Drosophila melanogaster: one gene and its partners. The protein of the gene in region 2 interacts with the protein of the main gene of each other region in a biochemical or structural test. Each region holds a gene or a part of one and is shown on either strand. Other genes may lie near its edges.

Evidence for each region.
Region 1: the proteins of hpo (region 2) and Rassf form a complex in vitro, tested with the Drosophila melanogaster proteins (one study listed by BioGRID).
Region 3: of the proteins of hpo (region 2) and Rap1, one has a biochemical effect on the other in vitro, tested with the Drosophila melanogaster proteins (one study listed by BioGRID).

Annotation. Positions count from the first base shown.
Region 1 is NT_033777.3:23,116,195-23,119,947, forward strand, and holds the start of Rassf (Ras association family member), read right to left. Parts: upstream 1,738-3,753; 5' UTR 1,345-1,737; coding exon 1,305-1,344; intron 1,231-1,304; coding exon 1,136-1,230; intron 1,070-1,135; coding exon 887-1,069; intron 821-886; coding exon 632-820; intron 579-631; coding exon 1-578. Other genes in the region: CenB1A (centaurin beta 1A), read left to right, coding at 2,595-2,647.
Region 2 is NT_033778.4:19,495,225-19,498,977, reverse strand, and holds the start of hpo (hippo), read left to right. Parts: upstream 1-2,121; 5' UTR 2,122-2,229; coding exon 2,230-3,517; intron 3,518-3,574; coding exon 3,575-3,753. Other genes in the region: CG15120 (uncharacterized protein), read right to left, coding at 640-818, 912-1,176. UniProt on the Drosophila melanogaster protein: Plays a key role in the Hippo/SWH (Sav/Wts/Hpo) signaling pathway, a signaling pathway that plays a pivotal role in organ size control and tumor suppression by restricting proliferation and promoting apoptosis.
Region 3 is NT_037436.4:1,860,312-1,864,064, forward strand, and holds the start of Rap1 (Rap1 GTPase), read right to left. Parts: upstream 1,929-3,753; 5' UTR 1,750-1,928; exon of another isoform or gene 1,619-1,749; intron 1,506-1,618; exon of another isoform or gene 1,366-1,505; 5' UTR 901-1,365; coding exon 346-900; 3' UTR 1-345. Other genes in the region: HBS1, read right to left, coding at 2,722-3,753. UniProt on the Drosophila melanogaster protein: Ras proteins bind GDP/GTP and possess intrinsic GTPase activity. Plays a role in photoreceptor cell determination.

The DNA of each region.
Region 1 (3,753 bases), on a different chromosome or scaffold from region 2:
TTGGCAGTCAACGATCCCGTGGCGGTCATAAAATCATCCGTGCTGCTGGTGTTTGTTGATGCCGATTGAGTCGAGCTTGATTCAGTGGTCGTAGTGGTCTCTGTGGATGTTTTGCTGGGCGAACTGTCGCTGGAGGATTGCGACGACGGCAGTTTGACAGGCATAGTTTCATAAATGCGATCCTTGTCGTTGTGACGTCTCTCTACCTGCAGCAGATCGTCTATGTCGTCCCAATCCAGTTTTTCCAGACGGTCCAACTTCGAAGGCAATGTGCTGGACACACAACTTGTGCTGGCAGTAGGAGCCTCCACCAGGGTTCCAGATGAGTCCGTCGTGGTCGTATCCTCGTCGTCGTTGCACACATTACCATTGGTCTGCTCTTTGCTGTTGGCTGTGGTGTTGGCCGAGGCATCTTCTGGGGTTGTGGGCAACTCGGAGATCTCGTTCAGGCTACAGGAGTCGAAGGTCATGCTCTCGGAAAGGGAAACATCCGTGGATAGTTGATCGACCTCGGCTGTGGTGGTGGTGGGCGGAGCCAGCGATTCGCTAGCTTCGTTTTCCTTATCCGAACTGCTTTCCTGTGGGTACAATTGTATAAATAACGTTTTGTTATGTTATAGATTCAGCTTACATTGGCAGCCTTGGACACACGGCAAGAGTTCCTTTTGCGCACTAAGATGCGCTGATCATCGTCCTCCTTGAGATGAATCACTCCCTGCACGCCCCAGTAAACTCTAAGCGCGCCTTCCAGCACCAACCGGTTGTTGACCTCACGACTACGTATCTCCAGGCTTTTGTTGTCGTAGAATTGGTTGTAGACCTGCCCATTAAAAGGGAATTTGGTGAGTCATGAGATATTGATATGTCTGGGTATTGCGTTCTGCACCTTAAGTTTGGACTCCAGGTGATCACGTGGGAGTGGCGGGCCATTGGCCTGAGCTCCGGTTGGCTTCTGGGCTCCCTTCACCCCATAGCTTTTGTGCGATTCCACCCGGGTGCCGTGGCCAAACAACTGGGGTCCAAACAGGGCGCCATAGCAGGGCACATGGCAGTAGGGCACACTTTTGTGCTGAAAGGAAAACAAAAGGCTTTATATAGATCACATGATCGGCTAACTAACAGGTGATCCTCCTACCTCAGCATGCTGGCCGGGATTTAAGCGTTTGCCGCATTCCTCGCAGCGCAAACATTCCGGATGCCAATCGTAGCCGATCGATTGTTTACGTTCCGCTGTGCGGGGCATAAATAAATATAATTTACAAGTTATTTACGGATCGCAATGCGCTCGTGTGTGGGTGCATTACCGAAGTAAACGGGTTTGCCGCACTTGTGGCACTTCCACATTCTGGATTCCAAACAGGTCGGTCTAATGCTTCCTCCGGGAATGGGCGTGTTTCACTCCTCCTCCTCTACTTCGCCGATTTTAAAGAGTTGTGACGTAAAGCCGTCGAGTTGTATGCAAATGAGGCGATTTAAAGCGGACACGAAACGCAAATAGAACGCTGGACAAGGGGTAAACACATGAGGCGAGGGGGGACGTGAGACTCTGATCGGTCAGTCGGTCAGCTGCGCTGGTTGCCGTGCGAAACTCATAGTTTTATAAATGAAACTGGCACTGGGCACTCCCACACTTGGTGCACGGTGCAGGTGCATCGGTTTTCGGTGCGTACTTGTGTGGATAATTGCACTTAAACCAAAACAGCACCAGCAGAAAGAGAACAGAACAATGAAATGAAAAATGGCACTTGTGCAGCACTGGCCGCGGATTCTTGTCGCACAAGGCGGGCACCCTAAAATCCAGCGGTGCTGTCAGCTGATCTGTTTTGTAGCTAGATTTGACTTGGCTGGCGGTAGCTTGAAACGGATTTGCTTGTTTTGGTGTTTAAAATTGTCATCGTTTGTACTTTAAATACATCTACATTGATTATGGCTAGAACCCAAATCTTTTTTGGGCTGTATCTTCTTTTAGGGAATTTAAGTTCCTAATTAGCTTCTTCTTAGCTACAAAAGTTTCCAACACTGATAAACCGTGCTGACAATGTCAATGTGCGTTGTTTTATGCCTTTGAATTGAAATCTTCGTAACTAATCGAGTTTTAAAACGAAAATCAGCACAAGGAAAACACTAAGCATTCAATACATTTAAAATTTTAAAAGATATGAGCAAAAGCAAATAAGCCCGCCAAAGTGTGTGACCATTCGCGCTGCTAGATTTGTTTTCGCTGCGAGTGCGGGCACACCGATCTGCTCTAGTAGAAAGTGAGACGTTTTAATTTGTTGTCTCTGCGCGCTGTGTAAATTTGGTAAATTCGGCCCCGAATCGCGTAAATTGGCGAGTTTCGCTAATTAGGGCCAGTGCTCAACGTGTGTAGCCGTCGATTGCCAAGGATGCGACTAATCACCATATCTCCTGCTGCCCGCAATTAGCTTCTCCCAGAGCCGCCCTCGAAAATCGCGCATCGAAATCCCCACTTCAGCAAGGAAAGCAAAGCAAAGCAGAGCAGCAGCAACAGGCCAACAAAGATTCACGGGCCTCAATTAGCGTAGCGAAATAGCCAGCAGTGCAGTCTAGGTGCTGCTTGCGTGGTGGCCAAAATGCGCGCCACCATCGAGTTCGAGGAGTGCCTGAAGGATTCTCCCAGATTCAGGTGCATATAAGCTGCAGCCCCGCCCCCACTGTGTGCCCATCCTGAGCCGCATTTGGCGTGAGATTCGAATTGCTCCATGTAGCGTGACTGGTTACTATCCAAAACCAGATACAGCCCAACACCGCCCCACCTGCTCCACCTGAAAACGCGGCTTAATCATCCATCGAACAAACTTTGTCCCGTCAGCAGTGTGGAATGTGCCTGCCTGCCCCTTTATTTCCGCAATTAAATTGCCGATGCTCTCGTCTCCGTCCGCGAACGCTTCAATGCCCGCCGCTGATTGATAAGATTTCACCCAAATTGCCGCTTCTCCACTAATCGTGTCCAAAGACAAAAGCTTTCCCTCGTAAAACGGTGCACAAACGCGGCGATAACTTGTTTGCCCAGCAGCCCCATCACATCTTCCCCACTTTTTCGCACCTGCAGCAGCTTCACTTGAAAGAAAACAGGAAATCAAGACTATCTTGGATTCTCCTGCACTTCGGTTCTTTTATCATTTGTGGAAGTGCCAACTTGACCTTGGTGTTTCGAAACCGAAGTACACTACAATAAATTATGTGAATCATATGTGAACTTTTCTGCCATGCATATAAAAAATAAGAAATCTAAGGATCTGTAAAGTAGGACATTTCTATTGCTTCAGAACTAGGCAGATATTATCGCAACCATAGTAAAATGTATCAATGTTATGCATTTTTTTAAACTAGCTTAAACTAGTTTCCAGTTTTAAGTAGAATTAAACGATTTATTTTTTATCAAAAACTTCAACTCATTGTGCATTTGGCTCAATCGTTTGAATGACGAACACATATTTGAAGATATATGAAGCTTTCGAAAGCCATTAGTTTAAAATGAAAACTGTGTATGATAGCAATATTATCACGGAATACGACTTTTCAAAGCCACTCTCAGAATGAATTGACTGCTGAAATAGACAGACCTCCATTCGAAATTACCATGTAGCTAGCCTCTGGAACGAGTACGTCCAAGAAAATAAACACAAAGTTAAAACAAAAGCAATGCCCGACAAATCGATGGATGACACAGGGGAAAAAGACGAGAAAAACCCGAAGAAGACGCAACAGAGTGATACAAAAACTTGTCCC
Region 2 (3,753 bases):
CCATCCAAGGTCTGTGACATTGAACCAGCCAAAGGGGTCACACACACACTCATGCGAGGTGGGTGGGAATTGGTTACACATAACTTTCCGATTGCAGCGGAGTTCCATGGGAAATTGACTGACAGTTGGACGGTGCGACGTTTTGAATGTCAGTAGTCGCATTCCGGACGGAATCGCTTGCCCGTCAGCCGTGGAGCTCTACTAACTCCGGAAATAGACAATGGCATATTATTTACTCGGTTTTTGCTTTCACCTGCAACACTTGAAATAATTGGACACGCAGGTGTACGAAACTCGAGCTAAATTCAAATATGGGCTTTGTCTATGGGTCACCGAGTGGTAAGGTTACCCCTTTCTAGTGACAGTCGTGCAATTTCATTTGATTTTTATTTGCATTGACTCACATTTGTATAGTTGAAGTTTAAGTTTGCCAACAGACATATGGAAAATTCTAGCTATGGTTACAAAAATAAATCATTACCCGAATGTAAGGGCTTAAAAAGAATTAAGTTTAAATGTATGACCTATCCAAATTTCGAACAATATAACTTAATACCATATATATAGTATAATTAATAAGTCAACTAACAACGAACCTAATGGAATTTAGCGCCCTACCAAATAATTCCCACCACTCACCGTCCATCCGATTTTGTCGCCCCCGCAGAGGTACTCCATCTTTATGGGCAGGTCGCCGCGGTCAAAGTACATTCGGAAGAGGGTTCCTCGTCCCGGATCATTAGCCCCACCGGTGGAGCAGCCATTAAGACCCATGCCCAAGTTGAAGGTGGACATGGACTTTTGTTGGCGCCTCAGAACTGAAAATCAGTACAAATGCAAATGTGGGCAGGGATGTCATTAGGGAAACAAATACCGATGGGCGAAACACCCAAATAAACAAACTAACGCACTTTTCGGATTGGGCACCCGACTCCTGGCACTGGCTGTCTTGGGGGCGGTTTCGTGGATGGGTCCGTCGATGACGACCGTGTTCTTTTGCTGCGACTGAATGGAGAAGGGTGGAACGTAGCGCGGACGCGACGAGACCGCCGCTCCATGGATGCCGCTAAGTGGACGCAGTTGCGCCGGATTGGCGGACTTGGAGCGCGTCGGCCTGTGGTAGTCGTGCGTGGGACGCCTTGCCGTCGCGGTGCGTGCCGTTTGGGCCATGGCCATTTCCGGTTGATGCGACGATGTGCAGCCACGTAGTGTAAACAGCGAACTGCCGAGCGAAGGAATTTCTGTAGCCAGGCTGGCACTCCTGGTGTTGGCGTTGCTTTTGCTGTTGCTGTTGGGTGTCGTGTCGTTTCTATGGAGCACGTTGCTAAGGCCTGGGGCGGCTTAGTGACCGATAAGCCAGCAGTTGGAGCTAAAGCCGCTTGCTCGCATTCGCTGCGGTGCTCTCTTCCAGTCGCATTTGTTACAATAACAAGCCGGTTAGCCTTATAGGCGCCAGTTATGTTGTTATTATCATTCGACTATGCACTAACCAAAGTCCCCGGACTGCATGTAGATTTCCCAAGCACTTTTATTGGGCATTTCAGGTCAGCGAACTCATCGGAATGAAGGGGATCTGGGTTTTCTGGGGGCGCAACCGCAGATTAACAACGACAAATTGGCACAGCTCATGTCAATCATGCCAACATTTTATTCTATTTGATGAACAACAACAATCGATCCATAAAAGCAATTTAATTTTATATACAGAAGTAATAAATATTAAAACGTATTCAAAGTGAAACAAATTACCTAAACAACTTAATATTATAAATATTATATGTTAATCAGAATTTACTAAATCTTTTTAATCAAAGTACAAAGTAAATCGTCATAAATCTAATCAATAGCCATGAGAAAAACATAGAAATGCCATCATCAAGCAAAGATTTCAAAAAAGAGGTAAGCATGCGTGAGTTGTAAATTTAATTTTAACCTTATAATTCTGAGCCAATAAATTAAGTTTTAAAAAGCGCGCCAAGAGAACTTATCGATAAATGGCTAATTCTGCTATGCAGCACTGGTGCTTTGTTTACATTCTGCGGTGTTCGGCGTTTGTCTGGCAACGCCGCACCTGTTCTGTGCGGGTGGCGTGTTGCAAAGTGCCGAGGGCACTGAGAACTACTAGTGTTGGCTAGCGATCGAGTGCGAATAAAGAACAAAAGTGTGATATGTCGCTGTGAATAGCCAATTATCTGTGTTTTCTCGTGCTAAATCAGAAAATTTTTCGCAATGTCTGAGCCAGAGGTGACCAGCGTTGTAGATATGAAATCGCCCAACATATCCTCCTCCTGCTCCTTCTTCAAGCTGAAGAAGCTGTCGGAGGAGTCGCTTCTGCAGCCGCCGGAAAAGGTCTTCGACATTATGTACAAGCTGGGCGAGGGCAGCTATGGATCAGTCTACAAGGCAGTGCACAAGGAAAGCAGCTCCATTGTGGCCATCAAGCTGGTGCCGGTGGAGTCCGACCTGCACGAGATTATTAAGGAGATATCCATTATGCAACAATGCGACTCGCCGTATGTGGTGCGCTATTACGGCTCCTACTTCAAGCAGTATGACCTGTGGATCTGCATGGAGTACTGTGGCGCCGGCAGCGTCTCCGACATTATGCGTCTGCGCAAAAAGACGCTGACGGAGGACGAGATAGCCACTATTCTGTCGGACACTCTGCAGGGCTTGGTCTATCTGCATCTGCGTCGCAAGATCCATCGCGACATCAAGGCGGCCAACATCCTGCTCAATACCGAAGGCTATGCTAAGTTGGCCGATTTCGGAGTCGCTGGTCAGCTCACGGACACAATGGCCAAGAGAAACACTGTGATCGGAACGCCCTTCTGGATGGCCCCCGAGGTGATTGAGGAGATTGGCTACGACTGTGTGGCAGACATATGGTCATTGGGCATCACCGCCTTGGAAATGGCCGAGGGAAAGCCCCCATACGGTGAGATCCATCCCATGCGAGCCATCTTTATGATTCCGCAGAAGCCACCACCATCGTTCCGGGAACCGGATCGCTGGAGCACAGAGTTCATTGACTTCGTGAGCAAGTGCCTGGTAAAGGAGCCAGACGACCGGGCAACGGCCACTGAACTGCTGGAGCACGAGTTCATACGCAACGCCAAGCACCGATCGATCCTAAAGCCTATGCTTGAGGAGACCTGTGCCATTCGCGAGCAGCAACGCGCCAATCGCAGTTTTGGGGGCGTGTTGGCTGCTAGTCAGGCGAAGAGCTTGGCAACCCAGGAAAACGGAATGCAACAACACATCACGGACAACGCGTTTATGGAGGATCCAGGTACTCTGGTGCCGGAGAAGTTCGGTGAATACCAACAGAGCTCAGCCTCAGATGCCACCATGATAGCGCATGCAGAGCAAGGTGTGGATGAGGGCACTTTGGGGCCGGGTGGACTAAGGAACCTGTCCAAGGCAGCTGCTCCTGCAGCGGCCTCTTCGGCAGCATCTCCTCTGGACATGCCGGCAGTTGACAGCGGCACAATGGTGGAGCTGGAGTCGAACTTGGGTATGTAAATGATTTTGAAAGGGCTGGCCATTTGTTATTGTATTGTCTGTTATTCAGGCACTATGGTAATCAACTCCGATTCGGACGACTCCACAACGGCCAAAAACAACGACGACCAGAAGCCGCGAAACCGCTACAGGCCGCAGTTCCTGGAGCACTTCGATCGCAAAAATGCGGGAGATGGCCGTGGCGATGAAAAACCCATAGCCACAGAGTATTCTCCGGCAGCAGCGGAG
Region 3 (3,753 bases), on a different chromosome or scaffold from region 2:
TCAAAAACGAACGACAAATATATTTAAATATGTAGATATATATATATAATAATTCCCCATATGAATTAATGGTTAATCAGCGAAAAATAGTACAATCATAATAGTAGTAAATGGTAATAATTACAAAAACTTGAAACAGTTAAAAACATTTGTCAGTTTAAGTTTTGCTTGTATATAGTAGATTGGTTATTTCAATTCGACAATTGCCATCGGATCCAAAACGAAACGAGAACGAAAAAAATTTGAAAATTCTTTACTTTACGCTTATACTTTTGCTCCTCTCTCCTCCTCCTCTGTTATATATTTTTTTTTTTGTTTTTTTAGTTTTGGTGGTTTTTGGAAGTCTTATAGCAGAACACATAGGGACTTTTTCGGCTTCTTCTGTTTCTTCTCGGGCGACTTCTTGTTGATCTGCCGGACCAGGTCGTAGAAAATATCGTTCACATTCACTTTGGCTTTGGCTGAGGTCTCCATGAAGGCGCAGTTGAACTGGGTGGCCAGGTTCTTGCCCAGCTCCTTGCCGACGACGCGCTCCTCTTCGAGGTCGCACTTGTTGCCCACGAGCACCATGGGCACATCGTCCGTGTCCTTCACCCGGAGTATCTGCTCGCGCAGGTCCTGCAGATCGTTAAACGTCGATTGCGCCGTGATCGAGTAGACCAGCACGAATCCCTGGCCGTTCTTCATGTACAAATCCCGCATGGCCGTGAACTGCTCCGTACCCGCCGTGTCCAGGATCTCCAGCATGCACTGCTGTCCGTCCACCTCCACCTGCTTCCTGTAACTGTCCTCGATGGTGGGATCGTACTTCTCCACGAAGATGCACTGGACAAACTGGACTGTCAGCGCGGATTTGCCCACGCCGCCGCTTCCAAGGACCACGATTTTGTACTCACGCATGCTGGCTGCTGTGCTGTTTGTATATCCTTCGTATATCTCTTGTTTTGTGCTAAATTCTAGGGAAGAGACCCAAAATGCAGGTAGGCCAGGTAGGTGGGTTCACTTTCCAGGTGGCTCTCCCTCGAAAATCACTTGTTTTTAGGCGTTGTTCGGCGATTGCTTGTCGGTTGCAGTTGTTTTTTGTTTTTGTTTTTTTTTGTTGCTCTTGCTTATTAGTTAATATATGTTTTATATTTAAAGTAAATTGTTTGTTGTTGTTGCTTTTGCTGTTGATAACCTTTGTGCCGTGTAAGTGACTGCGTGAGTGTGTGTGTGTTAGTGTGTGTGAATGTGTGATGGTGTTTGTGCTCCCTCTCTCGCTCGCTCCTTCCGCCGAGTTGCGTGCGTTCAATTGTTGCTTTTTTGAGCGGAAATATCCTGGCTTGACTGTTCCTCGAGACGGCCGTCACTGCTACCGAGAGCACACTGTGGGGGGAGTAAGAAGAAAGGCGCTTTTTAGACACAATAAACGCTAAATTCTTTGCGAGTCTTTTTGGTTTGCGTTTTTTGGTATGCTGAGAACTGACTGCACTCCCTCTTTTCTTCTTCACAACTCTCTCGTTCTCGTTCTCGCTCTAATGATTCATTTTCAGGGTTGCCAGGCGGCCGCACCGAACGCAGCGCCCCACTGCAACGCCTCAAGCCGGAGATTCCCTTAAATTTCACTCAGCTCTCTCACTTAAAATGCACTTAAATTGCACACTGGGCACCCATGTGCGTACATCGGCCTACCGAACGGCCACTAAACAACTGAACCACGCAAATGCACCCGCATGTCGGGCGGCAGGGCAACTCTGGGCGGAGTTTTACCTATGCTTTTCACTCGCTGCCGCCAACTGCTTGCTCCTTGGGGACCGCTTCACCTGTCGCCGCTCGCGAATCGCTTCACTTTTAATTTAACACTAGTTTGCCTTGTAATTTCTTTACTTTTTCGCCCTCAGCGAACAGCGAACACTCAAAGACTAGGGCTGCCAAAGCATCGATGGCACTATCGGCACTCGCAGGCCGAGGGCTACGCACGACTATCGCAATGGCTTAGCGATGACACTTTTAAAGCATTGCTGTAAATTTTAAAAATAAACTATAAAATTTATATTCGAAATATATTTGATTCTTTTAAATTTATATTAGCACATCAAATTTTGGAAATATTTAAATTGTTATTTTCCCTATATATTTTTTTTTAATTTTAATTTTGTTAATACGATTTCATATTGAAATTGTTTTCTACAGTAAGTGATATTTTATGGTATTCCTATTTTATTTTTTAAGCATAATTTGCAAATAATATATAAGCTGTGTTGCCGATAGTTTAAGAAAAAATTCTAATGCTTGATTGTTTCATGAATCAGCAATATGATTCGCATTCAGAATTTTAGTCAGCCGCATATTCACATTTTCGAGATACAGTTTTGAATCATAGAATTTATCATAAGGAAAATAATTACAATTTATACAAAAATTGCAATATCACGTTTTTGGAATATTATTGTAGGGGTCATAATATTCCAAAAACGTGATATTGCAATTTATGTATAAATTGTAATTATATTCCTTATGATTAATTCAATGATAATAAATATAATAATTTCTTAAAGTGATTAATTCCATGAAAAACACACTCCACTTTAAGATACCGCTAAAATGGTCAGACCGAAATCTCTTCCAATGCTTCAGCGTCTTTTCGATTTAATCAATTCATATAAACTATGTATATTTAGGAAATCAACAAAAGTTAATATCTAACTAAAATTTCGTACAAAATCCAGCGCGGTCATCGACCTAGCGGATCTTGGTGACCATTCCGGCGGCAATGGTGACTCCCGCCACGCGAAGCATCACGCGTCCCAGCTCCTTGAAGTCCGCATACCGCTCGATGCAGATGGGTCTGCTGGTTTCCAGTTCCACTAGGGCACACGAGTTGTTGCCCAGGCAACGCGGCTTCTTCTTGACCACCTCGCCGGTGCTCTTGTGAATCGATGCGGTCAGCTTGCAGACCACGGCGGGCTCTATTAGGGATTGGTGGTGCAGCAGCACGGGGAAGCCCATGGTAATGGGCACCTTGACGTTGAACACGATTATGCGGGCCTGGAATCGCGTTGTCACCGGAATAGGGGTTTGTGGATCGCTGATGATGCAGCCCACGGTGACGTTGTTGATGTCCAAGGCGGGCAGGGTGACGGAGACCTGATCGCCGGCGAACACGCAAGTCTGTGGGAATTCGTTCATGGTAAGGGATTTCACTTGGGCCTGCTCCCGGCTGGCACCCACCAGCACCTTGTCGTTCAGGCACAGCACTCCGGTTTCCACTCGTCCCGAGATGCAGAATCCGGAGCCAGTGCCCTTGTAAATGTCCGACACGGACATTCGCAGCGGTCTGTCGATGGCTCTTTCGGGGATCTTGAAGTTCTCAATGACATCGAGGAGGTGGCGTCCACTGTACCAGTTGGTCAGGGCGGGTTCCTGGGCTTTCTTGGTGAGGTTCTCGCCGGTTAGTCCGGAACAGGGCGTAAAACTCACATCGGAATCCTTGAAGCCCGCCAGTTTGAGGAAGGACTTTAGCTTGGTCACAATCTCTGTGAATCGGTCCTGGGACCAGCCAACGGTGTCCAGCTTGTTGATGACCACGCCTAGCTGGTTAACCCCCAGGGATCGCACTAGAATGGCGTGCTCTCTAGTCTGTCCGCCGAGCTCAAAGCCGGATTCAAACTCTCCCCTTGTAGCATCCACCACCAGAAGGGCAACATCCGCCTGTGTGGCACCGGAGATCATGTTCGGAATGAAGTCCTTGTGCCCCGGAGCATCCAGCAGTGT